Canis lupus familiaris: one gene and its partners. The protein of the gene in region 1 interacts with the protein of each later gene in a biochemical or structural test. Links are inferred from orthologs where the notes say so. Each region holds a gene or a part of one and is shown in the gene's direction. Other genes may lie near its edges. The genes, in order: MAP3K11, MAPK8IP1 and MAP2K7.

Region 1 (6,900 bases):
CTCAGGCCGGGTCAGGGTCAGGAAGCTCTTGCTCAGCTCCTGGCTGAGGCTCCCCTTCAGAAGGGGGCTCATGGGAGTGTCGGCCACACTGCTCCCACTCCAGGGGGCTCCATCCCCAGCCAAGGGAGAACGTTCTGAAGAGTCTGTGCTGGGGAGAGAGGGGTCTGGGGCAGCCCCCGGGGGTGTCTGGGGAAGGTCTCCAACTATCAGAAAAAAGGAAGACAAAATGAGGGGAGGGCATGCTGCAAAAGGAACCAGCTGCTGAGGGGGTCCTGTGGCCAGGCCACAGGATGAGGTAGGCTACAGGACGGGGCAGATGGGGCAGGACAACGAGAAAGCCCCATCCTAAAGGACAAAGAGAGCTCCGGAGAAGCAAAAGTTGAGGTGACTCAAAGACCAGATAGCTAGTCCTCCCCCTAAGCCCCTGCCACGTCACCCCCACTCACTCAGTTTCTCCTGTGAGCTTAGCTTCAGCATCTCTCGATCCGCTGAGGTCACGATCACATTATTGCTGCCCTGCTCTCGCACCAGCTCCTTGATGTCTGCAACCACGGCCCCACAGGTGTCAGCAGGACTTCGAGGCATCGCTGTGCCATCTCATTCCACACCGCCAAATTCAGACCTGAGCAGCAGCCACCTACCTCTGAGGGGCCCAGAGTCCTCCATCCGGGGCAGCAGCTCCTGAGCAAAGAGAAAAATGAAGGAACAAAAAGAGTAAGAAGTAGACTCAGGACATACCCCAATGGGGATGGGCTCCCAGGAGAGGAGTGGGACGGGGTAGCTATGGACCACTCACCGAGACCTGGTTGAAGCCAAACACAGAATGCTGGGAGCTACAGCGTACCGGGGGTGTGGAACTCACTTTCCGAAACACTGTCATTTCCACTCCAGGGTCCCTAGCAGTGGAGAAAAGCATCAGCTTTCAGCTAACCTCCTGCCCCTTTATACTATACTTCCTCCACTACCCCAGCACTCCTTTCTTCTCAAAGGTCCTCTCACAAGTCTGGGGCTGACCACAGAACAAGTGCCCACCTGCTCATGGACCCAATGTCCCTAAGGCCCCAGTGCTTAAGCCCAGGCACTAAGCACCCTTAATTCCCAACACAGCCCCTCCGAGACTCACCTGGGCAGACTGCTGTCCCCCTGTGCAGGCTCCTCCTCTGGCTCCCCCATGGTAGAGTTACGCTTCTCCACAATCTCGCCCTGATCGAACATAGCGTGTAACCGATAGTTCACAGTCTTGATGGTAGTGAAGATGACAGCCACCACGAGGCAGTACACGCAGGCCACCATCAAGCTGGGGGGCAGGACCTGGAGGTGGCAACAAGTCAGGTTCCCCCTCACGCAGCCCTGTCCCTATGGGGTAGACCTACCACCAAAATCATAGCTAGTTCACAAGAGTTCATCACCCATCCCTCGGAACTGCTACAAAGACCCTCCTCAGGGAACTCTGTCCTCTTACTGAAGAGAAATTAAGTGAGAGACTCAAGGTCACCCAGCCCAGGAAAGGAATAATTTGGCCACTTCTCCATATACCCCCAAACTCTGCAGGGGGTCCTCTGTCTCCACAAGGCATATCCCCAAATCCCTGCCAGCTTGGCACCCCTCCGTGACATCTGCCCTCCCTTTCCCCAGAGGGGGGTTACAGGTGGCGGGAGCATCTCACCATGTACAGCAAGAAGGGAAAGGTGAGCAGGAAGATCCAGACATAAAGGTGGAAGCAGTTGGAGAAGGTGCTCTGGTGCGGGTCGAAGAACCAACCGCCGGTGAGCGAGGCCCACACCCCCTGGCGCAGGATCTGCAATACCTGCGACCCCATGGCCCCGCCGCTGCTGCGCGCGCCCCCCTCCCGGGACCCTCATGGGGGCGGCCGCCGGCCCACGCCCCGCCTGGCGCCCGAGGGCCCCGGGGCCCGGCCTCGCGCTCACGCCATGGCCTCCCACAGCCGGAGAGAGGGGTCGGCTGGGCGAGGGGGCGGGCAGGGGGCGGGGCCGACCCGGGCAGTCAGCGGTGCGAGGCCTGGACGCGGGGGTGGAGCCTCATCAGGGGCGGGGTCCAGGCCCCCACCCCTGGCCCACAACTGCTCCGAGAGGCCGAGCCGGTAGACAGGCGCGGGGCACGGGCCAGACCCTCGTCGGCGGCATCCAGAGATGGGCGTGGGGTGGGTGCTCCGGGGATGCAGGCGACGGCTCCCTCGGCTCCGGCCCGGGGAGAGCCCCGGGACCCTGAGGTCCACTTCCGGGGTTACAGGTCACTCGCTTCGGTCTCCGCGATCGCCCGGCTACTGCGGGACCCGGCCCAAGGGGGAGGCCGGAAGGAGCAGCGAGCCGCCAGCCAGCAGTGGCGCATGCGCCCGACCGGCCTAGTTGGGACCCGGAAAAGGAAAACTTGAAGGCATGAAACCTGACGCACGCGCAGGAAGGTCGTGGAGCGCTAAGACGCGGCGGAGCCCTTTGGGCGTGCGCGGAGTCCAGGCCTAAAAGAGCTCCAAAAGTGGTAGCGCTAGGGCGCATGCGCACGCCCAGGCGTTGTCCACCCAGCGGACACCCCTGGGCGGAACCGAAGGGATAGTTGAGTGGCCACTGAGTAATGGCGGGATTAATTGGCACAAAACTCTCTCAGTGAGTTACAGGAGGTGGAGCAAAAGGAGGCGTGGACTTCTCGGGGCTACTGCGATAGTTGTGCACCACCGAGGCACGCCCCTCTCGGTCCGCCCCTTTCAGTGTAGGACCGCGTACCCGCACTCACGCCCCAAGCAGCCTCTACTTCCGGGTCAGAGCTCAGACTTAGCGGGTGGAGAGCTACCCTCCAGAACAGGCATGAATAATAGAAATAGGATAGCGTCGCTTTTCTTAAAGTGACAGGCTCAAGGCAATGGGGGGGCGGGGTCTGTCCATCCAGCAGCTGTAAGGGCAATTTGGCTCTTCTGAATCCAACCACTGGGCGAAGTTCAGAATTACAGTCTCAGGTTTCCGCCCACTTGGCTTGGGGTGAAGAAGTGGATTGTTTCCCAGGTAAGGGGAAGAGGACAGTCTTAGACAACTCGTTCCAAGAGTTTGAGATGCAGCCAGTTCCGTCTTCCAGTCTTGCCCACTCCCATCCCAAGCAGAGCTTCTGGTCCCTATTTCAGCTATGAAGGGAAGGAGGCGAAAAGATGAGTTATGCAGTCCTGCAACTTCGGAGCCAAGACTAGGCTTGCCCCACTCCCAAGCCAGGTTCTTTACCCCGTTTTGCGGATGCGGATGCGGAAGGGATGGCCTGTCCTTAGCAAAGACCAACCCTGACCCTGAACCTTCTGCGATGGGTGTTCGGGGCGATCATCCCCTCCTGCCCTTCATTGCCCGCCTACCCGGGAACTCCCGGGACCGGCGCCGGCAGCCTCTGGGAGGGGAGCAGCGCTACCCGCCCGCGTCATCTGATGCTGTTTCCTGCAAGAAGGAGAAGAGCGGAAAAAAGTGAAACTCCACCCTCCACCTCTGCCTCCCGCCCCCGGGGCCAAAGTACAAAGGGAGGAGGAAGAAGGGAACGGGGTTGGAGCCGTCGGGCTGAGGGAGCCGGACTGGGAAGCGGCAGCTCGGCCAAACTAGGAACACGCCAGCCACCCCCTGCGCAAAGAGACCCAACGGAGTCCCCGCGCTGCCCGTTGCGGACCCCACCTTGCACTTGGCGAGTGCTGGAGCCAATCTCCCAGGACTGCTCTGGGACGGAGGGACTTCAGGCCCCTCCAAGCTGGCCATGGTGAGACGCAGGAGGCCCCGGGGTCCCACCCCCAGAGCCTGACCACACTGCCCTGGGTGGCCCTCTAGAAGCCCGAGATGCGGGGGGCCGGGAGTCAATACTCCTGGCTCCCCAGAGAGGTGTGGGTCTGGAGCTGAGGGCCAGGGCCCGGATGCCCAGGTTCCGGGACTAGGGCCTCAGCAGCCAGCAGGGGTGGGGACCAGGGGCACCCAGGGAAGATACCCTGCTTGCCCCCAAATCAACTCCAGCCATGGAGCCCTTGAAGAACCTCTTTCTCAAGAGCCCGCTGGGGTCATGGAACAGCAGTGGCGGTGGGGGCAGTGGGGGCAGTGGCGGAGGCTGGCCAGAGGGGTCCCCGAAGACAGCGGCTTATGCCAACCCCGTGTGGACAGCCCTGTTTGACTATGAGCCCAATGGGCAGGATGAACTGGCCCTGAGAAAGGGCGACCGTGTGGAGGTGCTGTCCCGGGATGCAGCTATCTCAGGCGATGAGGGCTGGTGGGCCGGCCAGGTGGGTGGCCAGGTGGGCATCTTTCCATCCAACTATGTGTCTCGGGGCGGTGGCCCACCCCCCTGCGAGGTGGCCAGCTTCCAAGAGCTGCGGCTGGAGGAGGTGATCGGCATCGGTGGCTTCGGCAAGGTCTACCGCGGCAGCTGGCGAGGTGAGCTGGTGGCTGTGAAGGCAGCTCGCCAGGACCCCGATGAGGACATCAGTGTGACAGCCGAGAGTGTGCGCCAGGAGGCCCGGCTTTTCGCCATGCTGGCACACCCCAACATCATTGCCCTCAAGGCCGTGTGCCTGGAGGAGCCCAACCTGTGCTTGGTGATGGAGTACGCAGCTGGTGGGCCCCTCAGCCGTGCCCTGGCTGGGCGGCGTGTGCCCCCCCACGTACTGGTCAACTGGGCTGTGCAGATTGCCCGTGGGATGCATTACCTGCACTGTGAGGCCCTGGTGCCTGTCATCCACCGAGACCTCAAGTCCAACAACAGTGAGTTTTGGGGAGCATGGTTGGAGGGTGGCATAGCCCAAGCACACACCAGCCAACTTCTCAGCTGAGTCCCCTGGGGATCTACTCGAGGCAGGAGCTCCTTCCCTAGGGGAGTCCTAGTAGAGTCGGGGTGCCATTTACCCACACTGGCCGCAAAGCAGGAGACCCAGGCACCGAACAGTCCTTCAAGCCCCAGCCTCAGGAGTCTTTGACCCTGGCTCACAGCCACCAGGTTAAAAAATTGGGATCTCTCAAGTGAGCCATAAGTGTCCTGCCTAACATGGGCACCACTTCAAGGCAGTAGAGCTCTGGATGCTGGCAGTCATCTTCTTCCCCCCCTAAAGTTCATGCCCATGCTGTTGATGCTCTGTTCTTGGGGTAGAAAGCTCCTCCAGAACAGAGATCTTGGAGAGGAAAGCCCCCACTAAACCCCGTGGTGGTCAAGGCTGGGGACAGGGCTGGAATTCTGGCTCTGCCCATACCCCTGACTACATGACCTTTAACTGGTTATTTCAACTCAGAGCCTCAATTTTGGACTCTGTAAAAAGGGAGTGACCAGGAAGGTGAAATGGTGTAAGGGGCTGGGTGAGCCTGGTGTCTGCTGCCTGGCACACAGTGGGTCTGCAGCTATGTGGGGGAACATTCGAGGGCTGGATCACCTAGAGGGCTTTGCCTGGAATTAGCACTTAGGGTGGGCCTGGTGGGGTTAAGGGAGACTCAAGCAGTCCAGTACAGCATCTCCAGCCATTTCAGGCCCAACACACTGCCCAGCATGGGCCCAAGACAAGCGAGTGACAGGTTCCGAGGGCTTCCTGGAGCAGATAAGCTTCACACCAGGCCCAAAGCAGGCACCCTGTTGGATGTTCAGGTAGAACACGACCAGAGCAAAGGCAAAGAGGCAGGACTCAGAGCCACCTACCGTGCCCCCAATAGTGGGGACACAGAGCTAGATTTGCCAGGGAAGGGGGGACCAGGGTCCAGGCTGTAGAGCAATAGGAAGTGCAGAAGGAGCTGATGGGTTATTGGAGAGGCTTGGGCAGCTCTTGGTGGGGGGTGAGCATAGATATTTTGGACCGCCTGGCTTGGGCTGGCCATATACAAGTGGCTTCTGGGGAGTAGGACGCCATAACCCAGTAATATCCGAGTCCTTGCCAGGCCCGGAGGGACAAGGAAAGGCCTGCCAGCCACCCCACCTACTCCTCTCATCCAGTGGGGTACTTCTCACTGCTCAGCCTGGTGCTAGCCCTCCAGGGACCCCCACTCCCTGCCCCAATCCAAGGGAGATTCCCCGAAGGCTTTGGGGGAGGGGACTCCCTTCTTCTGTTTTTCCTCCAGTTTTCTTTCCAGAAAAAATGGAACAATAGCCCAGGCCCCTGCTCCCCACCCTCCCCACTGCTTCCTGCGTTTCCTGCTGCCCCTGAGCCGGCTTCCTGCCCCTGCTCCAGCCTCTGCTCCCTCCCCACCCCAGCTGCCTGCCGGGGAGGAAAGAACCAAGGGAGGGGGGTGCTGTGGGAGAGGAAGGAGCCAGGGATTGCATCCCCCCCCTTCCCCTGTTTCTCTCCCAGAGTCTGGGTGATGGTGAAGGACAGGCCAGGTGCCCTCAGCCTCGCTGAGCCTGGCCTCCCACCTTGGAGACCCCAGTCCTCGGCTTGGGGTGCTGTCTGTGGGATGGTGGGGGGAGTCCCTGGGCTGGGGGGGGCAGAGGCAGGAAACAATGGCGTGATTTTCCTGGACAATGGGGGCCTTGTGAGGAAGCCTGGCGGGGAGTGGAGGGGGAATTCTCTGGGCCCACGAGTCACAGGACTGACCAGCCAGCCCAGCCTGGGTCAGACCTCCCCCAATTTCTCCCCCAAAGGACTCCCTTCCCAGTTGGAGACCTGGTCTCAGCCTCCCAGAAAGGAGAAGTAGGGACCATGGGAGGGAAGCGGAAGAGGCGTGAGCTGCCCAGGCCACTCCCTGGCCCCACAGAGGCTGGCCTGGGGAGGGGGGTGGGGGCCAGGGCCCTGAATGGGACTGAGCTTGGGGTCTCCAGCCTTCTCCGCTCCAGGTGGCCCCTGACCACCCCTTCCCCAAGGTCCATATCAGACACCAAAGGGGCAGATCAGGTTGGGACAAATTCAAGGCACTTGGAAAAAAGCAGGGGATGCAGAGGTGAGGATGAGGCTTCAGAAGT
Region 2 (6,708 bases), about 8.1 Mb from region 1:
CACCCCTCCTCAGAGTTGGCAGGGAGGAGAGGGATGGGTAGAGATGGAGGAAGCAGGAGACCTCTGGGAGCAACCAGAGCAGACTAGTGGCAGCTCCAGAGCTTGGCCAGAGTTGGGGAGTCAGTCAGCCAGAATGGTACAGAGTACTCCAGGCCTAAGATGAGGTTCCCGAGTGCTATCCTGCAGTGCCTCTGCCTCTCAGGCCACCTAAAGTTCCAGGGCTGAGGATCAGTCAGTGGCAGCAGGGCTCTCTCCAGGCCCTCAATCCATCCTTTATCTTGATTCAGCCACTTAAGCACCGTGTGGTGTGCAGGGGATGCAGGCGGCAAGCACGGACTCTGGCTGGGTGGTTGAGATCTGCCCGCAGCCAGGCCCAGGGCCTGGATGCTGGCTTTGCCTCATGCCATCTGGCCAGAGAGCGGCCTCTCTCTGCAGCATATGTGGGCTTTTCTATGATGGTCTCTAGCCTTGGGCCACAGAAAGACTTTTGTTAATACACCACACCCCAACTTCGTGTGGGCAGGGGCTCAGAGAGGGCCCAAGGATACACAAAATGCCCTGCACAGAATGAGAAAGGGGGAAACGGGAGGAGCTTGGGATTCATTTCATTCTTAGATCTGCTTTGAAGCTCCTTCCCACCAAGACCTGGACCTGCCCGTCCCCCCTCCCTTCTCCTGGCTTCTCTCTAATGTGACTTTGGCTTGGCCTCAGGAGCTACAATAGCTTTGTTCTCCAGCAGAAGATTCTGGAGAATGAAGTTGTCTTACACACACACTCCTGACCTGAAGATGCTCCCAGCTGAGGCAAGCACACACTCTTAAGCAACAATTATTAACCTCTAGGCCAAGACCACTTCCTGGAAGCAAAAGCCAGGCATCTGAGCAGAAGGTGGCTACTGTTTGGTCCTAGTGAAAGGAGGCTGAGCCAAGATAGCAAGAAAGGTAAAGTGGCCACTCCTCTGGGCCCACAGGCAGGGAGAAGAGCCTTTGGCAGTAGGTAATGGGATGTTCTTGGGGCTGGAGGTGGGGAGTTGTTTCCTGCAGGGCACGTGACTGCAGCTCCTTTCTGGGTGCTACATTGAAGGAAAAGGGAGTGGTGTGACCAGTAGGCAGTCCAGATTTGCAAATAGGATCCCACAAGCTGTGAAACAGTTTGCCCCTTCTTCGGAAAGAAGTAAGGACAGAGCCTCCGCAGTTCTCAGGAGGCCAGAGAGACCAATGAGGTTTGGTCAGAGGCTCTTGACCCACCAAAGCTGGGGCCCTAGCCTTGCCAGCAGTTTGAGTGTCCAGCAGTCTGTGTTCTGTAAAAGAACTCACAGGCTTAGCCCTCGTAGGGGAGAGACCAGAAAGGAACTGTGGCCCCAAACTAGCAGGGGTAGAGGTGCTGGAAGGAACAGAAAAACCATAAGAAGAATCCCAAGAAGTCAACCATGGCAGCAGGAGGAAAAGTGGCTCCTACTCTTAGAATGTGGGAAACCAGCTATGGGGTGTCTGTGGGTGCAAATGAGAAGTTCTCTGCAGGAAATGCAATTGAGAGAAATCTGGGAAAGTCCTGGTGTGAGGGAGGAGAAACAGAGAAGCCTAGAGAAAGGTTCAGTTCCCCATTAATAACTGGGTCAATCTTTAGAGAGAAAATCTTCTAGGGAGAGTCCATGAGAGGGTCTCCTCAAGGGGACAGGACTGGGTGAGACCTGGGTTCTAGGCAGAGGTGGGGTATTCCCTGCCGCCGGTGACAACATATTTGTATTACTTTTCATCCTCACAACCACGAGAGGGACCATTACTGTCCTCATTTCACAGATGAGAAAACTTAGGATCCGTGAAGTCACTAATGCAAGGCCACACCACCTATTCACTTGGGAAGCCAGGCTGTGACTTCACACCACCTGACTCCAACCCCGGCTTGCCCTGGGAGCCCACGCCGACACCATGTCGCCTTCCTCCTCCTTCCTCCATGGCCCTCCGGTCCTGCCCGCCTTCTTTGTCTGCTGCTGGGGGCCACTAGGGCCCAGGGGACCGGGTCCCGCCATTAGCTCCCTCATGCCCGGGCGCCAGGCCCCCCCGAGGGCGCAGAGCCCGCACCGCGCGAGGGCTTTGCGGGAGGGGGAGGAGGGCGGAGGGATCCGCGTGGGCGCGGGGGCCGCGGGGGCCGCCGCTTCAGCACCTCGGAGAGCGCCGGGGCGGGGCCGGGGCGGGGCCGGGGCGGGGCCGGGGCGGGGCCGGGGCGGGGCGCACGAGACCCCGGCGAGGGCCCGGGGACGCGCGGCGGCGCTCGCGCCAGTCCCGGGAGCGGCGCGCGGTCCGGAGCCGCGCCCTGCCCTGCGCAGGTGCGCCCGCCGCGCCCGCCCCAGCCCGAGCCCCGCGGCGGCGGCGGCCTCTCCGCGCGCCCGCCTCCGTCCCCTCCGCCGCCGCCGCCTTCGCCGCCGCCGCCTCTGCGCCGCGCTCCGCCCGGATGGCCAGGGCTGTGCCGGGGAATGGCGGAGCGAGAGAGCGGCGGCCTGGGCGGGGGGGCCGCGTCCCCGCCTGCCGCCTCCCCGTTCCTGGGGCTGCACATCGCGTCGCCGCCCAATTTCAGGTGAGAGTCCCCGGCCGCCGCGCCCCGCCCTTCGGCCCGGGTAATCTGCGCCGGCCCCCGCCGCCCGCCGCCCCCCGCCCCCAACACGCACACACCGACCTGGGGAACGCAGGGGCTGCGCGGGGAGGGGGTCTCCTCCCTGGGCAGGGTCCCCAGAAACCCCCTCAGCCCCCCGTCCCGCCGGATAGCCGCTGCAGAGCCAACGGTGCGGCTCCCTCCGCCATTCCATGCCCCAGGCTAGGAGATTCTAGAGGGAACTGGAGGGGGGGGCGCAGAGGCCGCCTTCTCCCCCACTTTGGGACTGCGGCAGGGCCTGGGGTCCGGATTGAGACAGCGGAGGAGGCAGGCAGGCTAATGCTCTGCTTCTGCCCAGTCCACAGGATTCTGAATAGACATGGGTGCGGGGATGGGGTGCCTCGTGGCTCCCAGTTTCTTGGGGCAACTGACAACCTTGGTGCCGGAAGGAGGAAGTCGTGGGCCCCTCCCCCAGCCCTGTCTGGTCAGAGGGGCCTAACTCCCAGGACTGGCATGGTCAGGACCCCTGTGGACTTGGGTGGGCAAGCACTGACCTGGTCAGGTGTGTGCAGGCACGGAAGGCTCCGACCCATTCAGGAGACACTACGCCCAGCTTTGGTTGAGGGAGTCTGGTTTGGACAGCCCAGGAGTAGCCAAGGACACTGGGTGGAAGGTTTCCCTGCTGGAGCAGGTCCCCAGGACCGTGGTCTGAGCTCCCTTTCTCCCCCCTCTCTGCCGGTTATCTGCTATTAGGCAATTGGGAGGTGGATTTTAGGGAAGTGGGCAGTGGGTGTTGTGGGCAAGGGATGGATATCCCTCCACCATAATCCTGGCCCCATTTGGAGAGGAGGAAGAAGACAGTGTAACTGCTCCAGAGCCTAGGAGGAGGCCTAGACGTACCCCATTGTTTCTCCATCTAATGAGCCGGCGCCTTCCCCTCTCCTGGGCCCCCCACCCCAGCCGGGCCCCAGCTGGGCTCTGGCGCCAGCCCCTCTCTGACCAAGGGGTTGCTGGCTCCCTGGCCCTCAGGTGGGTAGGAACCCCTGAGGATCTCTAATGGCATCAGCAGCAGTAGAAACTTCCCTTGAGGCCCTGAGCTGAGAAGCTGGGAAGACCAGAGGGAGGGGACCAGATGGAGGAGGCCAAGTGTGAGGGCTCCAGGGCCGGGGCCTTTGTGATTGGTGCCTCTTGAATAATGAGGCTGAGGTCTGAGACCAGTTTCCCCTGGCCAAGCTGCCAAGAGGCAAATATTGCCTTCCTGCTGGGAGGCCCCTCTGCAGTGGAACAGCTGAGAGGGACCTGGGTTCAAATTCGAGCTCCACCACTTGCTAGCTGAGCGACCTGACAGTCCCATCTGACAGGTGAGCTAATATTGATTCCTTCGTGTGCATCAAGTCGGTGCTCAACAAGTGTCTGCCCTCCATGCTGGTGAGCATTTATATAGCTCATCACTGCTCGGAGCTTTCCCAGGGGCAGGCTCGTTTACCCTCATGGCCGTGGGGGTCGGTCTGCCCATTTTATAGATGACAAGATCGAGGTTCAGCAGGCAGTGGTTTGCCTGAGGACCCCGCAGAAGTCAGAGCCTCGGGCCGTCTCTGGGTGTTCAGTCCACTCGGTCGCCAGGCCCTGTCTGTGGCCCGGAGGACAGCTTTGCCTCCCTCCACCTGCTTCCAGACCCCCAGGTGACAGTGCCCTCCCCTGGCAGGCAGGTTATCCTGGATGCTTTAGTGAGAGGGACTGATGAGGTGGACGCCAGCCAGTGAGTATGCACTCTGGGCCAGGTGGGTGAGAACAGCAGTGCGCCACGGCCAAGGCGTGGGCCAGCCCTCCAGGACACCATGGCCTGGCCGTGGGGACAAGGGCAGCTTCTGGAAATAATAAGGGCAGTGTCTCCGGCCCCACGTGGCCTGCCCTGCCTGCTCCAGCAGCCCCCGCTGACCTTTCCCTTGTCCTGCCTCGCCTGGCCCCTCACCCAGCTCGGGATAACCCTGGGTGTTGCCGCTCTCTCGTGGTCATGGATCCGACTGGCCTGGGTGTGCAGGCTGGCTCAGCCTCCTTAGCTGTGTGCCCCAAGACTGTTGGCTCCTGCTCAGGACGGTCCTGGGACTTGGATGGGACACGTGTTGAGTGTTTCAAGGGCTGCGGAGAGCTGCGTTCACGCAGGGCTGTGGTTGTTACTGTGTGTGTGCCCCCAGCACTGCTGTCAGCTTCCAGAAGGCATAGGAGGCAGTCCCTAGACTTCGGCCTGCCCAGTGCCCGGCACAGAGTAGGCGCTCAGTAATGCTGTACTGGGTTATTATGAAGGATCAGTTGTGCGCTGTCCTCCTGGAGCTCAGAGCATAACAGTGCGTGTTGTCAGAGGATAAGGGGGTGGGGGGGACGCTGGCCCCGGGGAGGCGCTCACTTTGCCCAGCACCCTCCCAAGGGCTTTCTACGCAAGAGCATCCTCACCAGGGCTGTATAAACAGAGCGTTACTATTATCCCCACTTTGCAGATGAAGAAACGGAGGCAGACAGAGGCTAGGGTGGCAGAGGTGGGGTCTGAATGCAGGCAGTCTGGCTTCAGGGCCACCCTGAAAAGGGGGAGCTCTGGAATAGCGGGGGGTGGTGTGCAGGGAGTAAGCACGGGGTGGACGTGGAAGCCGGAGAGGGAGCATTTGTTTGCTGCTGGTTGGTTTAAATAGACAGGTGTTCCTTCTTTGCTCCCCCTTCTGATTGTAGAAATGCTCCATCCAGTTACCTGCAGTTACCTCCAGATGTGGTATCGGGGGAGGGATTTCACTTATTTTACGCACTTCTATGATCATTTGACATCTTACTTCTGCAAGGAGCATAGGTCACTTCTGTAACTTCCAAAATTAGACAAGCGAATTTAAAACTCAAGTGATACCTGTTCATTGTAAGGAAAACTCCAGAAAAGAGACTTTAGAAACGTACCCAACGCATACACTGAGCTGGGTAGGTGGGATAAAGGGGAGGGACAGTGGGACGGTGCCTGTGGGGCGACGCCGGGTGCCCATGGGCAGTCCAGCGGGCAGCCCGCCCTGGACACGTGGGAGGAGAGCCGTGGATGAGGGGACCTCAGAAACCTCCTCCTCCCCGCCACCCCTCCCCGTTTACTGAGGGGGGCGCAGGAGATGGCGAGTGGCAGACCCTGGGCCTCCTGGCTGCCGGATGGTGTGGCTTTTACGTCGCCCTGCTGCCTTGCGGATGGAGCTGTGGCCACCGAGGGGGGCGCAGAGAGCTCCTCATTCTCCCCCCAGGACGGTACACACGTGGCTGTTCCTTTGCTCACTTGACTTTGCACTTTGGCGGCCTCCCTGGTCAGCTGCTCCGCAGGCGCAGGCACTGCCCGACCATCATGCAGGTGGCCGTGTAGAGGGGACATGGACAGACAGACGAGGGCTGGCCAGAGCGGCCAGCAGGGGCGGTCAGAGGCCCAGGGCCCCGCCCCGTCGGAGGCGGCAGGGCTTCAGCAGGAAGGGCAGCCCTGGATGGCTGTCTCAGGAGGGTCGCTGGGCCCTCCTGCCTGGGACCTGGCGGGGGGGGGGGGCAGGAGGGGACAGGAGGAAGACTGGGGGGCTGGCTTCACCCACTTGCTGAGGTATGTGCCCTGAGGGGTTGGGGCGCCAGGGGTCCGGGTGCTGGGCCCCTTGGGGATGGGACACCCTGTGGGCCATGAGAGGCTTGGTGGGCACGGAGGCAAAATTAGGAGGAGACCTCCTGAGTTTGCAGAGGGTGACCCTTCCCTGGGGACCCACTGGAGCGTTCGGGGCAGGGCATTGGGGGAGGCGCCTGGGGCGCCTGGAGAGGGTGGGGCCAGACCACAGATGCGGGGCGGCCCAGCTTAGAGAGCCCCACTGGGGCCTCAGAACATTCCTACCCAGGGGGCAGCAGAGAGCAGGGAGCCGGCCGCAGGTTCCAGCAGCCCCGTTTCCGCCGGGTGACTGCAAAGCTATTGCTGCTGGAGCTGCCCTCCCCCACCCTAGGCTCTGGGCAGCCCCCCAACCCAGCGAACCCCCAGTGTGGGGGCGCGGCGTTGACCTGCCTCACTTGCTGGGACAGGGCCACGGCAGGGTGCCCCCCCACCACCACCACCTCTTTGATGTCTGAGCCTTG
Region 3 (6,864 bases), on another chromosome or scaffold:
TGCGGGAGCTGGAGCTGGTGGCCTGCGGGCTGGAGCGCATCCCCCATGCCATCTTCAGCCTGGGCGCGCTGCAGGAACTTGACCTCAGGGACAACCACCTGCGGTCCATTGAAGAGATCCTCAGCTTCCAGCACTGTCGCAAGCTGGTCACGCTCAAGCTGTGGCACAACCAGATCGCTTACGTCCCTGAGCACGTGCGCAAGCTCCGGGGCCTGGAGCAGCTCTACCTCAGCCACAACAAGCTGGAGACCCTGCCCACCCAGCTCGGCATGTGCTCCGGCCTCCGCCTGCTGGACATCTCCCACAATGGGCTACGCTCCCTGCCGCCCGAGCTGGGCCTCCTCCAGAACCTGCAGCACCTGGCTCTGTCCTACAATGCCCTGGAGGCCCTGCCTGATGAGCTCTTCTTCTGCCGGAAGCTGCGGACGTTGCTTCTGGGCTACAACCACCTGAGCCAGCTCTCGTCCCAGGTGGGGGCCCTCAGAGCCCTCAGCCGCCTGGAGCTCAAGGGCAACCGCTTGGAGGCACTACCAGAAGAGCTTGGCAACTGTGTGGGGCTCAAGAAAGTGGGGATCCTCGTAGAAGACACCCTTTACGAGGGCCTGCCGGCAGAGGTGCGGGAGAAACTGGAGGAGGAATGAAGCAAAGGTGGGGAAGGCTGGGTAGAGGCCTTCTGGATGCTTCCACTGCAGAATCTCTACTACTGTCTTCAAGAGAGGTGGCCAAGAGGGCCCAGGCCAGGAGAGAAGGAGCAGACGCATCAGCCACCATGGGTTCCAGGCAAGATCCTGGGACTGGTTTGTCTGAGAAGAGATGAGAGGCTGTGGATTTGGGGTGGAACGTCGTAGAGGGATTAACTCAGTCATAGGATTCTCAGACCCAAACCACACCTGCGTCTTTGGCTGGCTGTCCTGCCCACACCCTGGACATTCTGGCCTAGTTAGTGCCATATATGGGGTTGGGGCACATCCCAATGGGATTTCAGCCCTTTCCCCCACCCCTCAAAACACCTTATAGCTGGTGTTCTCTCCCAAGGAGGGGACACAGACACAAGGGACTAATGAGTGACCCTTGCCCCCAACTTTGATGCCAAATCCTTATTTATAAGTTGTTTGCTATGGACACGCAAAATCAGAAAAATGGTTCTCGTGTTTGGCTATGCATCAAAATCAACATCCCCAAAACAAAACATCCTGGGCCCCACCCCTGAAAGACTGACTCAGGTCTGGCTGGAGGCCAGGAACCTGCCTGCAAATACACATCCCAGGTAATTCTGATGCAGGTGGTCCTAGACCTGTGTGTTGGGAATTGCGGACCTACAGAATCTGCAAGTCCAGAGCAGGGATTCTGAACCCTTTCTAAGTCCTACACCTTTTGAACATCTGAGAAAAGCTGGGTGTTTCCTTTCCCAGGAAAATGCTCAGGTACACATACATGCAAAGTTCCGCAAGCAACTTTAGGCAGTCAGCAAATTCCCCCAGATTTCCCAGAGGGCCATTCACGGACATCCTAAGGATGGCAGACTCCAGTGTTAAGAATGCCTGCCGAGGAGGTTAAATTTTTCTGAGCAGAGGCAGGGATTTTGTCTTTCCAGTGTTTCCTGTGTGAGAGAGCATCTACCAGTGGGTGCTTAATAAATAATCTGAATTATGAGAACTAAACTTCCGATCTCTGGTATCCACTCCTGTTTGTCTAAGCCTTCCATTTCGCCAGACCAATAACAGGCAAGCAATGACACTCACATGGCGGAATCAAGGGTATGAGTTTCTGTCCTGGAAGCAGAGGCAGGAGAGACCTCGGCTTATCAGGCATCATCTGCGTAGCTATTTTTTGGAGAACTCTCTTTCTTCTCCATTCCTTATTATTCTCCGGACTCCACACTCTCGCATCTGTTCCACCCGCAAATTGTCACCACGGGAGTCCCCACAAGCCTTCCGCGCCCGCCAGTGTTCCCGTGCTGGACCAGGAGCAGGAAGGGCATAGGGCACAGCCTGCCTGACCTGGACCTCCCGGGCCTGGACACCTCAAGGAGTCTGAAAAAATGCGAGCCTCTTCCTCGCAACTGAGAGCAGACGCAAGCTGCTTTCCGAAATCCAGGATCCCAGATGGGGGCATTTTCCCGGGCGCCCACAGACCAGTTGAGCCGCGAGGAGACCAGGCTGAGGCGCCCTAACATCCAGGCCCATCTTCCGCACTGTCCAGGAGCTGGGCTCACATTCCGGGGTTGGGAAGATGAAAGTCCTAAAATACCCCATTTGAGGGGGCTGACCTGGAACTCTTCTGGCCCTGCCCCTCACCCTGTCCGGAGATCAGGGGTCATGCCCCTGGTCCTGGGGCCCCTCCAGTGACCGAGCCCTACCCTGCCCCTCCCGCCAGCCCTTGGCCAACCCCGAGTTTGCTGAAATAGAAAGGGCTCCCCACGGGCGCCTAATTATGGTGAAGAGACAGCAATTAAGCCTAACAGGGATCCTAATGAAGCACTGTCCCAGACGAGAAAGGCAGTGCTGGGAGAGCGTGGGTGCCAGAAAACAGGCCGGGAGGGGAAGAGCGAGAACGAAGCTGGGGAGGACACGCTGCAAGAGCTACTCCCAGCAACAGGGGCAGAGAAGCGAGCCAAGGTTGCGCAGGCGCAGTAAAGGCCGCGCGCGGGATCGCGTCCGCGCCTCTGCACGCAGGCGCGCCGCTCTCCCCGCCCGCCGCTCTCGGCCCAACAGTGTGAATGGATTGCCACACGCAGTCCGCGCATGCGCACCACCAGGAGAGGCGTTGCTCGTTGCCAGACGCGAGCTCTAGGTGGCGTCATCCCTCCAGCTGGGAAGAGGCACGCATGCGCGGACGTTAGCACGAGGGATGGGCGAGTGCGCGCCGCGGGCATGCGCCGTGCGGGGAGAGACGGCGGCTCGGCGGGGTCATCCAGGCGCAAGCGCAGTGCGGTGTTTGTCTGCCGGACTGACGGGCGGCCGGGCGGTGCGCGGCGGCGGCGGGGAAGATGGCGGCGTCCTCCCTGGAGCAGAAGCTGTCCCGCCTGGAAGCAAAGCTGAAGCAGGAGAACCGCGAGGCCCGGCGGAGGATCGACCTCAACCTGGATATCAGCCCCCAGCGGCCCAGGCCCAGTAAGCACGGCAGCGTGGGGGAGGGGGCGGGCGGGGCGGGGCGCGCGCCGCGGGAGGCCCCGCCCCCGCCGTCAGGCCCCGCCCCCGCTTCCGGGGCGCTCTGGCTCCTCCTCCTCCCCACCCCATACCCCCTGCTGTCGGCTCGCGCGGAGAGGGTCACGGTGACCCGGGGGGCGTGGGGCCGCGGGCTCCCGGGCGGCTCTGCCCCCAACGTAGGGGTTCCCCCTCACGGGGCCTACGAGCCTAGTTACCCGGCAAGGCCCCCCACCTGACGGCCCGCCCCCTCCGCGGGATCCTCAGAGCCTATGTCACCGTCACCTACCCAGAGCCGGAGCCGCGCTCCCTCCAATGCATGCGACTGTGACCACATCCAGGTTCGTCGCAAACACGGACACGTCTCTTCCGACCGGACGACTTCACTCCTGCCATCTCAGTGACTGGCAGGAGGCCCCTTTCCCCTTCGGCACCTGGGTCCCTGTCATATGGTTTAGTGGGGGATGCGCTCACACTCACACACAAGCACACTTGGCCCAGGTGACACCTGAGGTCATTTGATCACTGTAACTCCCTATTCCTCTGACCCCCTTTCCTGTGACTGTGTCTGGTAATCCCTTTTTCCCCCGGGCGGGGACCTTGTAATTGGGCCTGGGGGGCCCCCCCTCCCACGCACACCCTACCCACATACACCAGGCCCCTTCATACTTCTCTGACCCGTTTCACTGCCACCATCTTGGTGACTGTCTAGCTTCTCAAAAAATACACACCGAACTCTCAGCTTGGCAACTTTCGCCCACTGGACTCGAGTGACTTCCTCTTTCCTGCACGCCCACACTCACCTGGCCTAGGGATACCTGAAGCCAAGGTGGTGATATCTAGACCTCCCAGCCCACACACACCTCGTATCTGATCCCACTATCTCTGTGTATCTCCCTGCATCTTGTTGCCTGGAATCAAAAGCTGCCTCCTCCTGCCCTCCCCCACCCAACAATCACACCTGACCTGGGATTGCCACGACCACTGGACCACTGTCTAGTTTCTTTGTTATGTCCCACTGAACCCCCCTCCCCAAATCTCTCAGCTGGAGGGCATCGGGTCTTCACCCTCCCCACAGACCTGATGGGTAGCACCTCATCACGCACTTTGTGTCTCTCTCTTGAGCTGGCAAATTGCCCTCCTTTGTACTTCTGATATGATCCCTGTAGCTTATGTAGCTCCCTGTGGGGTCATCCTGGTAGGAGGGGGAACACACCCCCATGTCAGAGTATTGCAGTCACTCCCCGCTCACCCAGCCTGATCTTCACGGCCTGACTGCCCCCCAGTCCCTGGGTGCGCTTCACTCCCCATCTCTCTCTCTTCTGATTTGGGGTGGTGTGGGTTCCTCCCTGGGGCAGAAAGGCCTCCCAGGACTGGAGGGTCCCTGCTGGGCTCTGCAGTGCTGCCTCCCCTGGCCCCAGCATGGAAGAGACAGGGCTGGGTCTGGGGCCAGGGGTGCCTTACAGGGTGGCTGTCCCAGAGTGAGGTATGGTGAGGCCCACGGCGGGCAGGCCCCTGAGGAGCCCCCTTCAGGTGTCTGTGTCTGTGTCAGCTCCATCTCATCCTCCCGGTCCTCCCATTTCTGTCGGTTTCTACCCGTCTCTGCAGTTTGGTGCCTCGCGCCTCCCCCTCTTCCTCGTTATGATTTGATTTCTTTTCTTTTGGACAAATCAGTTGTTTCTGTTGTGATTTATCGTGGTGTTGTTTTTTTTCTTCCTTTTCCCCATCCAGTTATTGTGATCACTCTAAGCCCTGCTCCTGCCCCGTCCCAACGAGCAGGTACCAGCCTTTTTATCATCGTCGCTTGGACATCTGCACCATTGACCTAACCGCTGCCCCGCCGCAGAATGCCCTCCCCCCCACCCCCCATGCTGTGTGTGCGTGTGTGCGCCTGTCACTCTTTTCTCCTTCCACACAATCAGTGATCAACAGTGTTTGGCCCACTTGGCCAATTCTGTGTCCGCTCACCTTCCACTCCTCCCTTCCTGGCGGGCTCAGGTTTGGACTCCCTGGAAGAGGAAGTGGGCTCCTTTACTGACCAGGAGTCTGCCGCCTGTGAGAGGTCGCACGTGTGAGTGAGCGTATGAGAGAGAGAGAGGGAAAGTTGGGCTAGGCCATCGGGCTGTGCCTGTTGATTTGTTTCAACCGTACAGCCAACATGTACTGCCCTGCTCTAGGGACACAGCAGCGAACAGAACGGACCAAGGGCCCCTCGTTGTGTGGCTGACGCTCACTGACAGCATTCTCCTGGTCTGGGAGAAGTGGACAAAGCAGTGATGCTTTGTAGAAAAGGCAAAGTAGAGCCAGCTTGGGGTTCTGCAAGGGGTGGTCAGTCGGGGAAGCCTCTAGAGCAGCTGGGATTACAGCACAGGCTCGGGGGAGGTGGGGAGATGTGAATGAAGGTAGAGGAAGCAGCCCGCCGAGGCCTGAGGCCGGAGCGCAGTTACTTGCGGGTCTGGAGCAGATGGGGAGGGTGTGCATGTGTATATGTGAGAGAGAGAGTGTGAGAGCAAGAGAGACAGACACCTGGGTGAGGTCTGGTCCAGTTGGCCCTTGTGTAGGGGGAGCTAAATTGGGCAGGTTGTGTGTGTGTGTGTCTGTGTGTGTGTGTGTGTGTGTGTGTGTAAGACAGCGTGAGGCTGGCCCTGTTCAGGGCTCTCGGCATGTTGTCTGTACACGTGTGGGGGTTTGTGCCATGCGCTGTGTGTGTGCGCGTACATACGTGTTGGACTGACAGCCTGGTACATCTGTGGCTCCTTTTGGCCATGTGTTTCCATGCGCTCTTGTTCTCTCTCTCTCTTTCTCTCTTGTTCAGCCTCTTGCTCTCACTGTGCCCTCCTGACCTGCCGTGTGGCCTGTCACCACCTCTGTAACCTCTGTTCTCAGGGCCTTTGTGTACTTCCCCTCCCCCCACCTTAGCCACCCTTCACTGGTCACCCTCAAGTACCCACCGTGTTTCAGTTTGTAGGACCACTGGGAGCATCTCCCTTCCCGCCCCAAGAAGTGTGGAGAGGGTAGGGGTGTGGTCCTCATCCCAGAGAGGACCTGACCATGCGGGGCAGAAAAGGGGCCCAGACACCCCCCAGGGAGTGAGAGCCTGGCAGTGTCCCCAGAGAGTCCAGGTACAGGGGAGCATGGGGGCCTTCAGATGCCCCTGAGGTTGTTGAGCCAGAAAGAGAGGGGTTAGGACTCTGACTCTGGCCCTCACAGAGTAGTGAAGCAAGGGCGTAACACAGAGAGGGACTAGAGCAGGAGAGAGGGAGCACAGGAGGTGAGGCCTGCAGGCCAGGGCAGGGTGCTGGGCCTGGCCATCTCCCTGGGGTCCCCAGAGCTCTTATTTTGCTCTGACCAGGCATGAGAAGACCTGTATCCCTCCTACGACTGCAGGCTAGGATCACGTAGCTGCTCCCTCGCTCTACATGTGGCCAGGGTCCAGGGTAACAAGGCAGAGAAAGTGCCCCGATACCAGCAATTCAAGCATATTTGTCTCTGTCCTTTGGGCCCATATCACCAGGTGCTTGCAGAACTGTGGGAGGAAGGGGTGGACCGTGGCAGGAGGCGTAGGCAGAGGAGAGGGTGTCAGTTGAGGGTTGTGGGAGAGTTGCAGGCCCCAGGCCTCCTGGCCATTCTCCACGGAAAGGTCCTCTTCTGGCCCCACTTAGCTTTTTCAGCCAGTGCCCTACCCAGCTAGGGATCCCATTCCAGAGCACCAGGGCCT

The links.
Region 2: the proteins of MAP3K11 (region 1) and MAPK8IP1 form a complex in vitro, tested with the Homo sapiens proteins (2 studies listed by BioGRID). The link is inferred for Canis lupus familiaris from reciprocal best matches to the Homo sapiens genes MAP3K11 and MAPK8IP1.
Region 3: of the proteins of MAP3K11 (region 1) and MAP2K7, one has a biochemical effect on the other in vitro, tested with the Homo sapiens proteins (2 studies listed by BioGRID). The link is inferred for Canis lupus familiaris from reciprocal best matches to the Homo sapiens genes MAP3K11 and MAP2K7.

Annotation. Positions count from the first base shown.
Region 1 is NC_049239.1:52,091,893-52,098,792, forward strand, and holds the start of MAP3K11 (mitogen-activated protein kinase kinase kinase 11), read left to right. Parts: upstream 1-2,632; 5' UTR 2,633-3,988; coding exon 3,989-4,727; intron 4,728-6,900. Other genes in the region: PCNX3 (pecanex-like protein 3), read right to left, coding at 1-203, 447-542, 642-681, 797-896, 1,124-1,311, 1,667-1,819. UniProt on the Homo sapiens protein: Activates the JUN N-terminal pathway. Required for serum-stimulated cell proliferation and for mitogen and cytokine activation of MAPK14 (p38), MAPK3 (ERK) and MAPK8 (JNK1) through phosphorylation and activation of MAP2K4/MKK4 and MAP2K7/MKK7.
Region 2 is NC_049239.1:43,956,827-43,963,534, reverse strand, and holds the start of MAPK8IP1 (C-Jun-amino-terminal kinase-interacting protein 1), read left to right. Parts: upstream 1-2,423; 5' UTR 2,424-2,473; coding exon 2,474-2,574; intron 2,575-6,708. UniProt on the Homo sapiens protein: The JNK-interacting protein (JIP) group of scaffold proteins selectively mediates JNK signaling by aggregating specific components of the MAPK cascade to form a functional JNK signaling module. Required for JNK activation in response to excitotoxic stress.
Region 3 is NC_049241.1:52,999,008-53,005,871, forward strand, and holds the start of MAP2K7 (dual specificity mitogen-activated protein kinase kinase 7), read left to right. Parts: upstream 1-2,896; 5' UTR 2,897-2,989; coding exon 2,990-3,113; intron 3,114-4,877; coding exon of another isoform or gene 4,878-4,925; intron 4,926-6,864. Other genes in the region: volume-regulated anion channel subunit LRRC8E, read left to right, coding at 1-641. UniProt on the Homo sapiens protein: Dual specificity protein kinase which acts as an essential component of the MAP kinase signal transduction pathway. Essential component of the stress-activated protein kinase/c-Jun N-terminal kinase (SAP/JNK) signaling pathway.